2 linked regions of the Rattus norvegicus genome follow. The protein of the gene in region 1 purifies or fractionates together with the protein of each later gene. This does not show direct contact. Links are inferred from orthologs where the notes say so. Each region holds a gene or a part of one and is shown on either strand. Other genes may lie near its edges.

Region 1 (7,229 bases):
TGGCACACACTTGTAATACGAACTCAGGGGGAGAGTGGGGGTTGGGAGGCGGTGGAGGTAAGACTAGCAGATCTCTGGGGCTTACTAGCCAGTCAGTCTAGCCTACTTGGCAAGTTCCAGGCTGAGGGACTATCTCAAACTCAATTGACGGCACTAAACAATGACACTCAGTGCTGTTCTCTGGCCTCTACAAGCACGTGTATGTATACATGTGTATTGGCACTCATACACACGCATGCGCCAGCATGCTTCTAAATAACTCCTTCATGTTAACATGCACATACTGTCTGAACGTGGCCAAAGAATGACCCACAGTGAAAATACCTTGGGGAACTGTGAGAGAGGCTCCAGGGAAAACGGAAAAGGGCCTTTTACTTCAAGAGCACTTTGTTCCTTGGCTTGTTCTTGGATATGGCTTCGTGCCTACTGTGTTAAACATTTACACTCAATTTATAAGACATGATTATGCTTGCTGGATGCAGAACATAACTATAGCACCAAGTCTGGTCAGTGTACACTGAATCTGCATGCTGCTTTCTGCCTTGCTTTCCCAGATATACTATAATCTATAGTATGCGCCAGATGATAGTGTTTAGATTGGTCTGTCCTGAGAAAGTTCTGGGAAAGGGCTACTCTGTTAATATATAGTATGTGCTTATTGATGCTTGTTTGCATGGTTTTCTGACCTCACACAACCTTCCTTGGATCGTTGCCTTTTTGTTGTTGTTGTTATATTTGTATATAAAACTACACTGAAACTTAAATAAGGTTTCTGAAGCATCCGACTGTAGTCTGCCCTATTCCTTCAGGTCCTCAGATCCCATAACCGGCAGAAAGAGCTGCACAGGTAGGCTGAGAAGTCAACAACATGCACACAAACCAATGTTAGACCCAACTGACCTTTCAAGTTAACCATACCAGCCCAATATTTAACCTCAGTTCTCACCACTAGCAGAAGACATTGAAGACCCTCGTTCCTTGTACATGTTCTGCCCCATCTGGAGCCCCGTTTTGGCAGAGAGGGGCACACTCGTGTCTAATCTGCCTCACCGAAACACCCAGAGCAGTGCCGAGTGCACAGGGTGAAGAGTGAGTAGAGACAAAGGAGCATCTAAGCATCTTTCAGCAAGATTTGCATAAAAGGTAACGACCCCAAGCTGTCAGGAGCACAGGTAGACGAGACTGTTGTCTTCGGGGTGCTTGGTTCTTCCCTCGCACTGGAGGGGGGTGTGGGGAAGTGATACCTGGGTAGGGAATCTTCCCATAGGTGACGATCTCGTACAGGAGAATTCCGAAGGACCACACGTCAGACTTGATAGTGAAGCAGCCGAAGTTGATGGCCTCTGGAGCCGTCCACTTGATAGGGAACTTGGCACCTGAAGAGGAAGACATGGGCTCTTACTCCAGGTTTAAGCTAATGGGTTAGAGGTAATTTTCTTCCTTGACTTTTTTTTTAAAAGAAATTCAAGTAATTTACTTGGAATAGAAAAGATACATGCACAATCAAAATGGACATGGTGTCAAATGTCATTCGAACAGAGTCACCTCCCTTGCCCTTCCCTTTAGGGTCCTCCTTTCTTTAGAAGCAGTTTCTTCTAGAACCTCCAGGGGGCACTGTAATCAGCTCAACTTTAAACGGGAAAGGGTGCGGTGTACTATTTTCTTACACTGTTGGCCTTTCAAAAGGGTTGCTGAAATTTTATCTAGAGTTTAGTATGCTGGCATGCACCTGTATTCTCAGGTGAGATAGGGGAATCTCTTGAATCAAGGAGTTTAGCTTTAAACTCCTGGACATCAATATAGGACCCCATCTCAGAAAACGAAACCAAACATACAGTATCAAAACGTCACACCAAGCCTTCTCTACAACACAGTTCAGGCTTTTCTTTAGTAAGTCCATTCTAAGTTTGAGTGGCCATATTTATTATTTCATTTAAATGTACCTACTTAATTTTTAGTGCCGGAATGAGTGCTAAGTACACATTTGACTACTGAACTAGATCCACAACCAGAATTATATTTAATTTCCTTCGAGGAAAGCAAGACTTGGCGCAGTCTGTAGCTCCAGCATTGTGGAACTGCTAGGGGTTCATAGCCACTGCTTGAAAACATTATCTTTACTATGTCTTTGCAGGCATTTTCTTTTGCAGTGCCTTACTAAGACTAGTAGTCCCTATAAGAACAGAACAGACAGTTGTGTACACCTGTTGTGTGCTGGGCTCACAATCACTGACTCCTGGATTGTTTCTAGACAGCCTGGAGCAGTGGTGCATGATGGGAGGACAGAGATACAGAGTCTCGGAGCATCTCCATGTTACCACTTTCTATTTGGTATCATCCTAACATGTTCTTTATGGTCTTTGTCCTTTCTGGTATTTTTCAAAGACTCAGTGCTTGTTGGTGTCAACAAACCAGTGTAATCAATTCTCTCTCATGTACTCAAAAGCTGGATTCCCTGGCTTGGATCCTGGCTCAGACCCTTACAGAGGATCTCTAGAGTTGCAGAACCTCCGAGGCCCATCATCAGTGGTCTGCAGCATAGACTAAGTGTTACGAACATCTCTGCAGTCCAGGGAAGCACATGTGCTTTATTATTTGAGAGGGGAAAAAATCTGCCTTACAGGGTAAATAAAGAATCTTAATTTTGACAAATTTAGTGTTGACTAAGTGAAATACAAGGCTGGATGTGTGGTGCACATACTTGTAGTCCCAGCACGTGGGAGGCTGAGGCAGCAAGATTTAGAGTTTGAGGCCAGCCTGGGTTACACAGCAAGACTGTGCTACAACTCAGTGGTTGAGCTCTTGCCTTGCAAAGATGAGACCCTCGTCCATTAATCCCCACTGCCAAAAAGTAAAACACCCCCTTATCTCAAAAACCAGCAAAGAAGAAGACAGATACTACTGTTCATGAATCTTGTTACAGTATTGAGTGGCCTTATCCAAGACAGATCTTACACAGAAAGCTACCATTGAGGCACATCTTCAATATTGTACCAAATAAGCCCTTTTTTTCCCCTTCAAAATGATGACTTTTTTGTAGATGCTTTATTAAAAAGCAAACAAAAATGAAATTAGGCAGAGAAATAATGAAATATTTCTTGTTATGTCGCTTTTTGAGTTGTTTGTATATTAACTACCTGTCAGATACATAGCTAGGAGATTTCCTCATTACACAGCAATGCCTTGTCTTGAAGGTAGAAACAAGGTCGGTGGGAACCGAGAGAACACAGGACAGAATTGGGGGGTGGAAAAGTGGGAGGGCATCATCATGGGGGGCAATAGCACACTCCTGCAGCAAGATGGCCTCTGTAACCCAGCACACGTACCTTCCCTCGCTGTGTATTCATTATCTTCGATTACTCTCGCGAGGCCAAAGTCTGCAATCTTGCACATGAGAGACTCAGAGACCAGCACGTTGGCAGCTCGCAGATCGCGGTGGATGTAGTTCTTCCGCTCGATGTACGCCATGCCTTCTGCAATCTGCAAACAGAAGGGGGTCATGTTCATATTCTAGAGAGGCTGTCATGGTTGGCCATCAAGAAAAAAACTAGTTTTTCAAAATTTTAAGATAGTGCTAAAGTCACCCTTAGAATTCTTTTTAAAGTCTGTCCCTAACATCTCCAACAATGGTAACTTTTTTAAAAAAAGTTTTTATTTTATTTTTATTTATCTCTTTGTGTGTGTGTGTTCGTGTCGGTCCGTGTGTGTGTGTGTGTGTGTGTGTGTGTGTGTGTGTGTGTGTGTGTGTGTGTCTTTTGTGTCTCAGTGAAAACATTGCATGCAGGTACTCTTGGAGGCCAGAAGGGGGCATTGGATCCCCTGGAGCTGGAGTTGCAGGCAGTTGAGATAATTCAACATGAGAGAGGGGAACTGAATCTGGGCCCTCCCTAAAAGCAGTTCACGGCCTTAACTGCTCAGCTATCACCTCAGCCCCATGGTAACATTTTGTTTTTTAAATAACAATAGATTCAGCATTTTTAACAGTGTGAAAGCTTTTTTTAAGACCTGTAAAACCTGCCCATGCTGATATACAGAGGTCATGTTAGATTCTTAGGTGAGGTCCCCTAAATTTATATATTGATATCCTGACCCTCAATATGATCCTTATGTGTTGGTAGTTGTAAAGTAACTAGGTTGGGGGGCAGTGCAGACTTGGTGCCCTTATATAAGAGGCCACAGAGAGCTTCCTAATCATTTCCACCTTGGGTGGCCATGGCTATTAAGAGGCTGTAAGGAGAATGGGCCTGTACCAGATACTGAATGTGCTGGTGCTTCTTTCTGGATGTCCCTAGAACTCTAAGAAATAAATGCCTGTTGTTGGAAACATCCAGTCCATGGTATTTTGTGGTAGAAACCAGAACTAAGACAACAGAAGAGAAGAAAGTGATTTGCTAATACAAGACACCAGCAACAGGACGTGAGACACACGCTTGTTAGTAAGACCCTTTCTGTCAGGATCTTGCTAAGGAAGAGGTGGGGCCAGCTCTCCAGAGCCTCTGAGCATAGTCCCTCAGGACGAACAGAATATACTCTGGCAACAAAGCAAAAATATGAGGCAGAATGAAGGATTCATATAGACAACAGCCCAGAGAGGAGAAGGTACTACTTAGTGCTGGTAGGAAATGTGGCAGAGCTCAAAAAATCAGTTAAAGGATTGTGCCACCAAATTACACAGTCAAGGATAAGGAAGGAAGAAAGTGTGTGTGTGTGTGTGTGTGTGTGTGTGTGTGTGTGTGTGTGTGTGTACACGTGCGCATACGCTCATGCTTGTGTGTATTTATGTGTGCATGTATGTGTGCTTGCGTGTGTTTATGGAGTGCATGTTTGTGGTGTGTGTGTATTTCTGTGTACTTGTCTGTGTATTTGTGTGTATGTGTTTAAGAGAAGCTTCCTCTGGGGTTGGGGATTTAGCTCAGTGGTAGAGCGCTTGCCTAGGAAGCGCAAGGCCCTGGGTTCGGTCCCCAGCTCCGGGGGAAAAAAAAAAAAAAAAAAAAAAAAGAAAAAAAGAAGAGAAGCTTCCTCAATTAGGATGACTTCTCAATAGAGTGAATTGTCCCCCAGAGGCTGTAAATTGCATCTGGGAAGGCTCCTCCATCACCAGCAGCAGCAGCCTCCTTACCTCACACTGTGAAGACTGCACAAGCCCCTTCAACCTCTACTGCTCAGCAAAGGAGCAGCTGGTTAGCACTTCCTTTCCTTCCAGGCCTCATCCTGGGTCCTCTTCCGGAGTCCTCCTAGTCCCATCCTGAACCTCTCTTCACCTGTCTTGCAGCGTTGGTCTGCACAAACACTACTCACAGCTAAGGGTTACAGCTTTACCATTGTTTTCTGTTGGGGGGGGGGGCTTACTGTTGCCACAGCAACCAGATAATCAACGCCTCTAAGGCAAAGGCTGCACTGTATATCTTTTCTATTCTCACTCGAGTGCAACTTTGCTGCTGTCACTAATCTCCTCCAGAAAAACGAGCTAGAGTTTTGATTTTTGTTTTTAAGATTTATTTATTTATTTCGTATATGTGAGTACACTGTAGCTGTCTTCAGACATACCAGAAGAGGGCATCAGATACCATTACAGATGGTTGTGAGCCACTATGTGGTTGCTGGGAATTGAACTCAGGACCTCTGGAAGAGCAGTCAGTGCTCTTAACCGCTGAGCCATCTCTCCAGCCCCCGAACTAGGTAGGGTCCAGGAAGCTATGTTGCTAGCACACAGGATTTGTAGGTGTCATTCTTCTGGTCACAACAATTTGAGAATACGCAAAGTGCCCCAGATCTACTTTGAAGTCTAGTCAACCCAGAACTTCACTCCCTATGGGCACCCAGGCACACTGTCCAAATACTTTAATAATGCTACCAGGAGCTGGTAGCATTCTACAGGACCTGGCTTTGCTTTATCTTCCTGATTCCTCACCATGACTCCTCCTGCAGCCTCTTGGCAACCACCCTCAAACCTCACTCCCCCGTTATGTGGCCCATTCATCCTGCAGGTCTGGGCTGAGAGGCCATTTTTTTTCCCTGAGCCTTTGTAGCACAGCACTTTCTCCGAGGAGTGCATCTCCACGGCTCGTCACTCTGTCCATGTGCCCATCTCATGTGGCCACTTCCCTGGGCACAGGTGAGCTGCATGTGCTGCCTGCATTCAGCTCTCAACTTGGTACAAAGGAAGCACGATGACATGGGGGGCTGACCTTGTAAAACATTGCACACATCTGACGATAGGTAAGCACATAGAGCAGAAACCAGAGCATGGTGGGGGAAAATGTGAGGCTGGTTGAGATAGCAACAGCTGGGTGGCCTCTGCTTTCCCTACTCTCAACGGCCCTAGGCGCACAGAAGATGCTCGCCCTTATCTGGAAATATTCAAAATAGCTTCAACAGGAAGCCCACCGAAGGCGGTGGGGTGGGGTGTGAATGCCCTGGCAAGGGCATGCTGGCATTCGTGACTTCCTCTAGAAGACTCTGCACCAGACCAGTGGGGCATGACATAGAGGGCAGAGGGTGATGTAACACAAGGGACTGAGGCAAACGTTGTTGGGGCAGGACTCAGGCTTCAGTTTCTCATAGTTTGCTGGCACGCCAACCTCAACCAAACTTACTAAAGGCAAGGCAAGAGTGCAGAGCATGCTGGGACTAAGCAGAAGAATGGGCCAAGAAGCTGTTACACAACTGGATAGAATGTTTGGGTTAAGGAGACAGAGACGTGCCTTGCTGAAATGAGCCAGCAAGGTTCTAGAACCCCAAAGGGATACAAACAATTGCATGGTCATTACTGATGCTCTCTGAGCCTCTTTCCAGTCCTCCTTAGTAACAGAGCCTTCTTGAAATGCTAGGCCATGCTTACCTAGCTAACAGTCTAGTAAATATATAGACCCTAGGTCAGGAGTGCAAAGAGCTGAAGCTGGCTAAAATCCCGACTCAGGGCTCAGCTCCATCTCCTGCTTGGCCATGGATTTCCAGGGTCAGCTTATTCTAAGATCATTCCAAGAACTTGCTAGGAGGGCTCCAGGCACATCTACTCAAGCTGGGCACCTGCTGAAAGTGTTTGGAGGTGATTCTCTGAAGCAGTCACAGTCTTGAACAAGCCTTGTGTACTTGGGATCTCTATTCCAGTTACAGCGCTTTTCCGGACAGTGATATTGGTGTTGAGATGAAATCCTAAAGTAGCTTGAGCTGAGCTCAATAATTAGCAGACACCCCAGCAAAGCGAAAGGCTCCCAAGTATTACCACC
Region 2 (7,776 bases), on another chromosome or scaffold:
CCTGCTCAGGTAGTGCTGGTGACTGGCTAGCTGGGTGTGGTGGCACGCTCCTGTGACCACAGCACTCTGGAGACAGAGGCTGGGGAATCACACGTTCAGGGCTAAATTCAAACCCACTAGCCCGAACCCTATTCTCCTGCCTCATACTAGAGACAGTTTAAAATTTTTTTAAAAGGGCCTGAGTGGAGAGGAAGGCTCAGGAGCTAAAGAGCCTTGTCATCAAGACTGATGAGCTAACTTCAATCACACAGGGTAAAGGAGGGACTAGGTCCCCACAGTTGTCCTGTGACATCCACTAGCGCACCATGGCACCTGCTTCCCCAAAGAAGAAACATTAAAAAATGTCTTTAAAAAAAAAAAAAAACTTTCTAAGGTGATGTTCGAACATCTTAAAACATTAAATTTCACGGCACACAGATCAAGCTGAGATTGCCCAGGTCCTGCGCCTGTTGACCACTGATGCACCAAAGGTAAGGGGACCATCAGGAAGCAGGTTCCTGAGGTAACCCCGCGCCCCCCATGCCTGCTGGAAGTGGGCTCCCGTAACCATGGGTCTGCATCAGTGTTGACAGCTTATATGTTCATAGTGTGTGCAAGTGCACATGCCTATGGTATGCACGCAGAGGACATCGGCCATGTATCACTTACCATCTTGTAACACAAGACCTCTCTCACTGAACCTGCAGCTCCCTGTTGCAGCTCAGATGCTGTCCATCAAACTCCTAGGACCCACCTGTCTCCAGTCACTAAGACTGGGGTTACAGTGACATGGAGCCATAACTGACTTTACTTGCATAGGTCCTGGGGATTTGAACTCAGGTCCTATTGCTTTTACAGCAAGTGTTCTCACCCACTGAGCCATTCCCCCAGGCCAATCCTATTATTTTTATCTCCCTCTCTACCCCAGGCTGTTTTAGAGTTTGTTGTGCAGACCGGACTGGCCATAATTTGTGATCTGACTACCTCTGTCTCCCAGAGCTAGGAATGAAGGCACACTCCACCACCCTGAGGATAGAAATAATCTGAGGACTAGAAGATCTGAAATCACGAGCCAAAAAGAAAGCTCCCTCCTTAGGTGCTATTTTTCTTTTTTTTTTTCCTCTTTTTTTTTTTTTTTTTTTTTTTGGTTCTTTTTTTCGGAGCTGGGGACCAAACCCAGGGCCTTGCGCTTCCTAGGCAAGCGCACTACCACTGAGCTAAATCCCCAACCCAGGTGCTATTTTTCTAAATGGTCTATGATGGAGGTCTGACAATACAACAGGCACAGTAAACTAGCACCCTGTTTCCCCCTACACGAGGAGGGCATTGTCAGCAGGTTAAATCCTTATTATTATTTTTTTTTAAATATACTTATTTTATTTATATGACTACACTGTCCCTATCTTCAGACACACCAGAAGAGGGCATCAGATCTCATTACAGATGGTTGTGAGCCACCATGTGGTTGCAGGGAATTGAAATCAGAACCTCTGGAAGAGCAGTCTGTGCTCTTAACCACTGGGCCATCTGTCTAGCCCCAAATCCTTGTTATCATCATCATCATCAGTAGTAGTAGTAGAAGTAGAAGTAGAAGGAGGAGAAGTATTTGTTCTAGAAGCAGTCCTTGTACCTCTGATGCTCTACCTCAGTTAGGAAACACTTAGAAGCATCAGTAGAAAGCCAACCTCAGTGTCTTGAAGGGAGCCCCACCCATGTTTGCCAGGCGCCCTGCTAATAAGAAATCTAAAACAGCACTCAGGAGACAGGCAGATCTTTGAGTTTGAGGCCAGCCTGGTCTACAGAGTGAGTTTCAGGACAGCCAGGGCTGCATAAATAGATCCTATCTTGGGAAAACAAAACAAAACCAAAAAACTCATCTAAGGACCAGCTACTGAGTAGCCAGGGTTGCCACCTGCCAGTCAAGGTGGAATGTTCACTCCTGGGAGCCACGAATTCCAAAGAGCCACTTGCTCTTTGCTGAGGGATATGCTGAGTCCCACGGGGGAGGTGGGGGTGGGAGACAAGCAGACAGACATGGTTGCTAGAATCAGGAAACACACAGCATGATAAGCACTATGACACCAGGAAAACTCCGGGTAACAGAAGAGCATGGTGAGGGAGTTTTGCACAGTGACTTCAGAGCAAGGAGTAAATAGAGCAAGCCTGCTCCAAGGGAGTGAGGATGAGCTGGTGGACGGCCCAGGACAGAGTGCTTGGCTCTTTCCTTCCCCTCAGCCCATAGGCCCACCTGGGTACACTCACCTGTTTCTATGTCATTGGCATTAGCTGAGTCCCTCAGCCTCTTCAGAGCTATAAAGAGAGAAGTGACAGTTAAAAAAAAAAGGGGGGGGGGGTTGGGGATTTAGCTCAGTGGTAGAGCGCTTACCTAGGAAGCGCAAGGCCCTGAGTTCCAGTCCCCAGCTCCGAAAAAAAGAACCAAAAAAAAAAAAAAAAAAAAAAACCAGAACCAAATAGGAGGTGCACGGTTCCCTAGCTTTTCCTCATCCCCCACCTTTAGTCATGGCAGTCCTGAAGCACAGGTGTCAGGATAGAAACCACTGGCCTGGCAATAAGGAGAAATTGGCAGGGCCACAGTTGGAGAGGCCACTTTCTGCAGCAAATCTGACTTCTGGAGCCAAATCTAATTTCTGCCACTTGTGGTAGCTGGTGACCTTGAGCAAGCCAGTTACTTATCCTGGGCCTCAGCCTGTTATCTATAAAACATGGCTGAATTGTCTTGCCAGCTCTAAGCTGTTACAAAGAAAATTGAGATTAATTTTTTAAGAGAGAAAGAATGAGAGGGTTTATTTAGCTCTTTGTGACCTAATCACATTCAACCTCTTACTATGTGACTTCAAAGCGGGTCACTCCCAAATGACTTAGCAAACTTTCTAATTCCTAAACAGAAACTTTCCCCCTTTCAAAGGCATCGCCTGTTTTTCAGAAGGACCAGGAAGCAATGCCTTAGTTGTTAGAGAATGGTCCAAAAAGTTGCAAACGAGATATAACAATTGCACACATCCATAGACCACTGTTTTGTTTTCTTTTAAATATTCTTTTCTATTTTTTTTATAACACCAGCATACTGGATCAAACGCTGTTAGGTGTGAAAAAGAGACCTTAAAACCTTTCATTCTGGGGCTGGGGATTTAGCTCAGTGGTAGAGTGCTTACCTAGGAAGCGCAAGGCCCTGGGTTCGGTCCCCAGCTCCGAAAAAAAGAAAAAAAAACAAAAACCTTTCCATTCTTAATTCTTCTGCACCCCATTTTCCAATATAACAGACATACTAAGGCAGTCTGGCTGACCTGTTTGCTATGTGACTTCGAATCAGAATAACTAAATGGTAATCACTGTAATTGTCAGCCAATAAATATGTAAGCTTTAGGGATGTTGGGATGGCTCGCTGGGAAAAGATGCTTGCTACAAGGCCTGACCTCCTGAGTGGAATTGCCAGGACTCACACTGTGGACCTGGAACTTGCTACTTAGAGCAGGCTGGCCTTGAACTCACAGGGATCTCCCTGCCTCTGCTTCCTGAGTGCTGGAGTTACACACGTGCACTGCCACATCTGGCTGTTTTTCTTGCTTACAGTAAAGTCTTTATAAGTCACTTTTCATGGGTCACAATGTAACTCTGAATGTGTATCAAACAAGTGTTTGGCCCTTCGTTAAGGTAGAACATACGTTGAGACCCTTGCCTAACTTTTGAGAACCTTGCCTAACTTCTTTTAATCCCTGAATAAGGCTGGTAGTGTACCCATCCTACAATCAGAAAATCGAGGCCACAAGTGACTATAGTGCCTAAGTAAGGGTCCAGTGTGAAGCAGTCTGATTCAGACCTGTGCCTTCACACAAGTTGGTGCAGCGTGGACACTGGCTCTGGGCTACCGTCTCTACTAATAAAAGTATTCTCCATTGTCCCACATTATTGTCTAATAACCACCCTCGGGAGTGTAAAGTTTTTATTCAGGGATGAACAAGTGGATGAAGTCACAGTCCTCTGCAGCTCGAACTACTGCGATCACACACGAGCGACCCCAGGGTCCCTGACTTAGCTCACCGTGCACCTCTTTGCCGGTGGGCCCGAGCCGTCGGTGGGGCCTGGCTGCACGCCTCAGCCGCCCGGCGGGAATCTTGCAACGCAGTTCGTCGCGAGGCTCGACGTCCTGCTGCCACAGGACTTGGAGGTAGCGCAGCGGGGACTGGGCCCTGCCCACCGCCCGACCCGGGAGGCCTGCGCCGCTGCCCAGTGCAGCGCCGAGGTCCGCAAAGGAGAACAGGCCTCCGGCTTCCGCCAGAGGCTCCGGCGCCACCGCGCACTCGCCCTCGGAGCTCGAGCGGCCGGATCGCGACTCGTCCTCCGCGCCCCCGCCGGTGGCTGCCATGGCAACGGCTAGGCGCGGGTCTGGCAGCGCCAGCCTCGTTCCGAACCGACCAACGGACCCGCTTCCCTCCAGGAGAAGCCTCGCTGTCAGGGAACGGGCGGGCGGGGCCTGCAACCACGGCAACAGAGTGCGGGAGGGCCGGACCGCGCCAGAGCGTCGGACCAATCAGAGTTCGCAGAGCCTGCATAGCACACCCAATCAGGTAAGGAAGGCAGACTACAAGGAGAACACTGGTTTTCACTAGTGTGAATGGCGGTAATATGAACCAATCACAAATTAGGATTGTTTTTTCACTAAGCGGTGTAGCTACCGGAGCCAATAAAATAGCTGAGTTCAGGACACCCCTTTCTTCCTTTTCTTCCTGTGGTAGCTCCGAAAAGAAGACTGGCAAGTGCTTTAGCCAATCAATGTAAGATGGTTTCCAGCCAATCAGAAAGGAAAGTGAAAAAACCCCCGAACTCTGTTCTGGAGTAGGTGTGTTTTGACTCAATGAACTTTAAAAAAAGAAAAAGAAAAAAAAAAAAAAATCCAGACACACTATGATTTGAAGATCATCACGAAGTAGGCGATAATATCTTCTAACGTAATAGATTTTGCTTCATCGAGTTCTCTTGCCCTCCTCGGGGATCATTGCTTTAACAAAAAATTATAGTCTATGGAACCCTGCAGTAGGCAGATTAGGGAAGAGCAATTAATTCCTCAGTCTTGAAAGTCCTTTGGATCACTGACCTGAATTTGACCCAAGGGAGGTGCAAGTACACACACACACACACACACACACACACACACACACGCCACAAGTCATTAATATTCATCAGTTAATAAATTAAATAGAGAGGCTGGAGAGATGGTTCAGAGATTAAGAGCATTGGCTGCTCTTCCAGAGATCCTGAGTTCAAATCCCAGCAACTACATGGTGGCTCACAACCATCTGTAATGAGATCTGGTGCCCTCTTCTGGCTCGTAGGTATACATGCAGGCAGTAATAACTAAATCTTTAAAAAAAAATTTTTTTTTTTAAAATAGAAAACACCTGCGAGGCCAAATAAACACCTGTAGCACTACCTTGTACTAATTAAAGGACTTGTGTTCTAGTCTACCTACCCGAAGTTGGTGATTTGAGGGCAACTTCTTGGAGTGGTCTTTCAGACTTCAAAGGATTGGTTTCTCCCTGTAGCCCTGGCTGTACTGAAACTCATTGTGTAGACAAGGCTGTCCTCGAACTCAGAGGTCCACCTGCCTCTGCCTCCTGAGTGCTGGGATTTTAGGTAGATAGATGGATTGATGGATCGATGGGTAGATATTTCTTTCTTTTCTTTTTTTCTTTTGGTTTTCTGAAACAATGTTTCTAAGTGCAGCTTGGCCGAGTCAGAACTTGCTCTGTCAATCAGGCTGGCCCCCCAACTTACAGAGATTCAACTGCCTTTGTTTTCCTAAAAATTATTTTTAATATTTTTTTTCCGGAGCTGGGGACCGAACCCAGGGCCTTGTGCTTGCTAGGCAAGCACTCTACCACTGAGCTAAATCCCCAACCCCCAAAATTATTATTTTTTTTTTTTGATTCTTTTTTTCGGAGCTGGGGACCGAACCCAGGGCCTTGCGCTTCCTAGGTAAGCGCTCTACCACTGAGCTAAATCCCCAGCCCCCCCAAAATTATTTTTAATTGAAAAACTTTGCATACAATATATTTTGGGGTTGGGGATTTAGCTCAGTGGTAGAGCGCTTGCCTAGCAGGTGCAAGGCCCTGGGTTCGGTCCCCAACTCTGAAAAAAAGAAAAGAAAAAAAAAATAGATTTTGATCATGCTTTTCTCTTCTCCCAACTCCTTCCAAACCCTCTACACCTCCTTACTCACCCACTTTCATGCCCTTTCTTTCTCTTATCAAAAACAAAATAACAGCAAAATACACACACAACAACAACAACAACAACTGCACAAAAATAGTAAAGGACCAATGATACAAAAATGCCCAAACAATGTAATAGAAAACAAAAGTTTGTAAAAACAGGTTCAATTTATTTTCTGTTGGTCAATCACTCCAGCGTAGGGGGCCCACACAGAAATATAGTTTATGTACCCCTGAGACGTCACTCAAGAAAACTGTGTCTTTGCAACTTAGTATTGATTAGGAATTGATGGGTGGAGCCCGTGCCCACTTCCACCTCTGGTCACTGGGATGACCCCCGTCTGGCCCACAGCCTCTGTGAGTTCATTTGTGTATTGGTCCTGCTGGATTTGGAGAACACCGTTTTCTTTGAGCCATCCACCACCTCTGTTTCTTTCTGTTTTTGCTTTTCTAGACAGGGTTTCTCTATATAGCTTTGACAATCCTGGAACTCACTCTGTAGACCAGGCTGGCCTCAACCTCAGAGATCTGCCTCCCTCTCCCTCCTGAGTGCTGGGATTAAGAGCATGTGCCACCACTGACCAGCCTCTATTGCATTTTTTTCGGGGCCTGTTGCTGTGGGGTTACTGGGTTCTGTTGGAGGCACCTTGTCTCGCCTGTTCATATTTCGTGGTTTTACACTGAGGTCTAAGCTTCTGGAAGTGTACTTTGAGGTGTTACTTGGTGTTTGTCTTGTCTTTGTCTTCTGCAGAGGGGTGCTTTGTTCTTTGATTATGGTTGCCCCCTCTGGAGCCTAGGCAAGTATGGTGGCTATGGGGTCCTAAATTCTGCATGTCAGTGTGTGGTAGAAAGGAAAGGAGCTGGCTAGAGAAAAAGGCCGAGAGGAGAGGAGCTATGGAAAGAGCTAGAAGTTGGCTCTTCTTCATGTCAACTCAAGCTGCTTTCCTGCAGTGGGCAGACCTTCACTTCCTGTACTTGTAAACTTCATAAACCCTTAAGGCATGTGAGTGGCTGGGCTTCTGCTGGCCTGCCTTCTGACTGGTGTGCTCCAGTGGCTGAGGCCTGCCCCTAGACTTCCCTAATGGCAGTGTAGGCTGTTTTCTAAAGGCTGTAATGGCCTTCCCAGGCTCCCCAAGGCAAGAGAGTGGCCACGCTCGCTCTATAGAAAAGCAAAATCCCATCAGTCCAAGTTTGCCCCAATCCTGGGCCACACTGGAAAGTTCCATCCCTGCCCCTAAGAAACCAAATAGACACCCTTCACTCTGCCTGGGTCTCTTCTGATTCCCTCCAGAGCACAGGTAGCCACTCTACTAGGCTTTTCCCTCCTCTGCTAATTTGAATAGGAATGGCCTCCATGGACTCTCCTGTTTTAATTCTTGGCCCATAGGTAGTGGCACTTTTAGGGGGTGTGGCGTCATTGGAGGAAGTATGTCACTATGGGGTGGGCTTTGAGGTCTCTTATGCTGAAACTATGCTAGTATGGAACCCAGTCTCCTTCTGCTGCCTGGTGATCAAGATATAGAACTATGGGGCTGGAGAGATGGCTCAGCAGTTACAAACTCTTCCA

Evidence for each region. The genes of interacting proteins can lie anywhere in the genome.
Region 2: the proteins of Lyn (region 1) and Ankrd54 purify together in Homo sapiens (affinity purification with mass spectrometry; 3 studies listed by BioGRID and IntAct, with this or other methods). This does not show direct contact. The link is inferred for Rattus norvegicus from reciprocal best matches to the Homo sapiens genes LYN and ANKRD54.

What each region holds. Positions count from the first base shown.
Region 1 is NC_086023.1:21,543,218-21,550,446, reverse strand, and holds part of Lyn (tyrosine-protein kinase Lyn), read right to left. Parts: exon of another isoform or gene 5,014-7,229; intron 3,481-5,013; coding exon 3,327-3,480; intron 1,377-3,326; coding exon 1,245-1,376; intron 1-1,244. UniProt on the Homo sapiens protein: Non-receptor tyrosine-protein kinase that transmits signals from cell surface receptors and plays an important role in the regulation of innate and adaptive immune responses, hematopoiesis, responses to growth factors and cytokines, integrin signaling, but also responses to DNA damage and genotoxic agents.
Region 2 is NC_086025.1:112,503,705-112,511,480, forward strand, and holds the start of Ankrd54 (ankyrin repeat domain-containing protein 54), read right to left. Parts: upstream 4,425-7,776; 5' UTR 4,364-4,424; coding exon 4,039-4,363; intron 2,290-4,038; coding exon 2,242-2,289; intron 1-2,241. UniProt on the Homo sapiens protein: Plays an important role in regulating intracellular signaling events associated with erythroid terminal differentiation.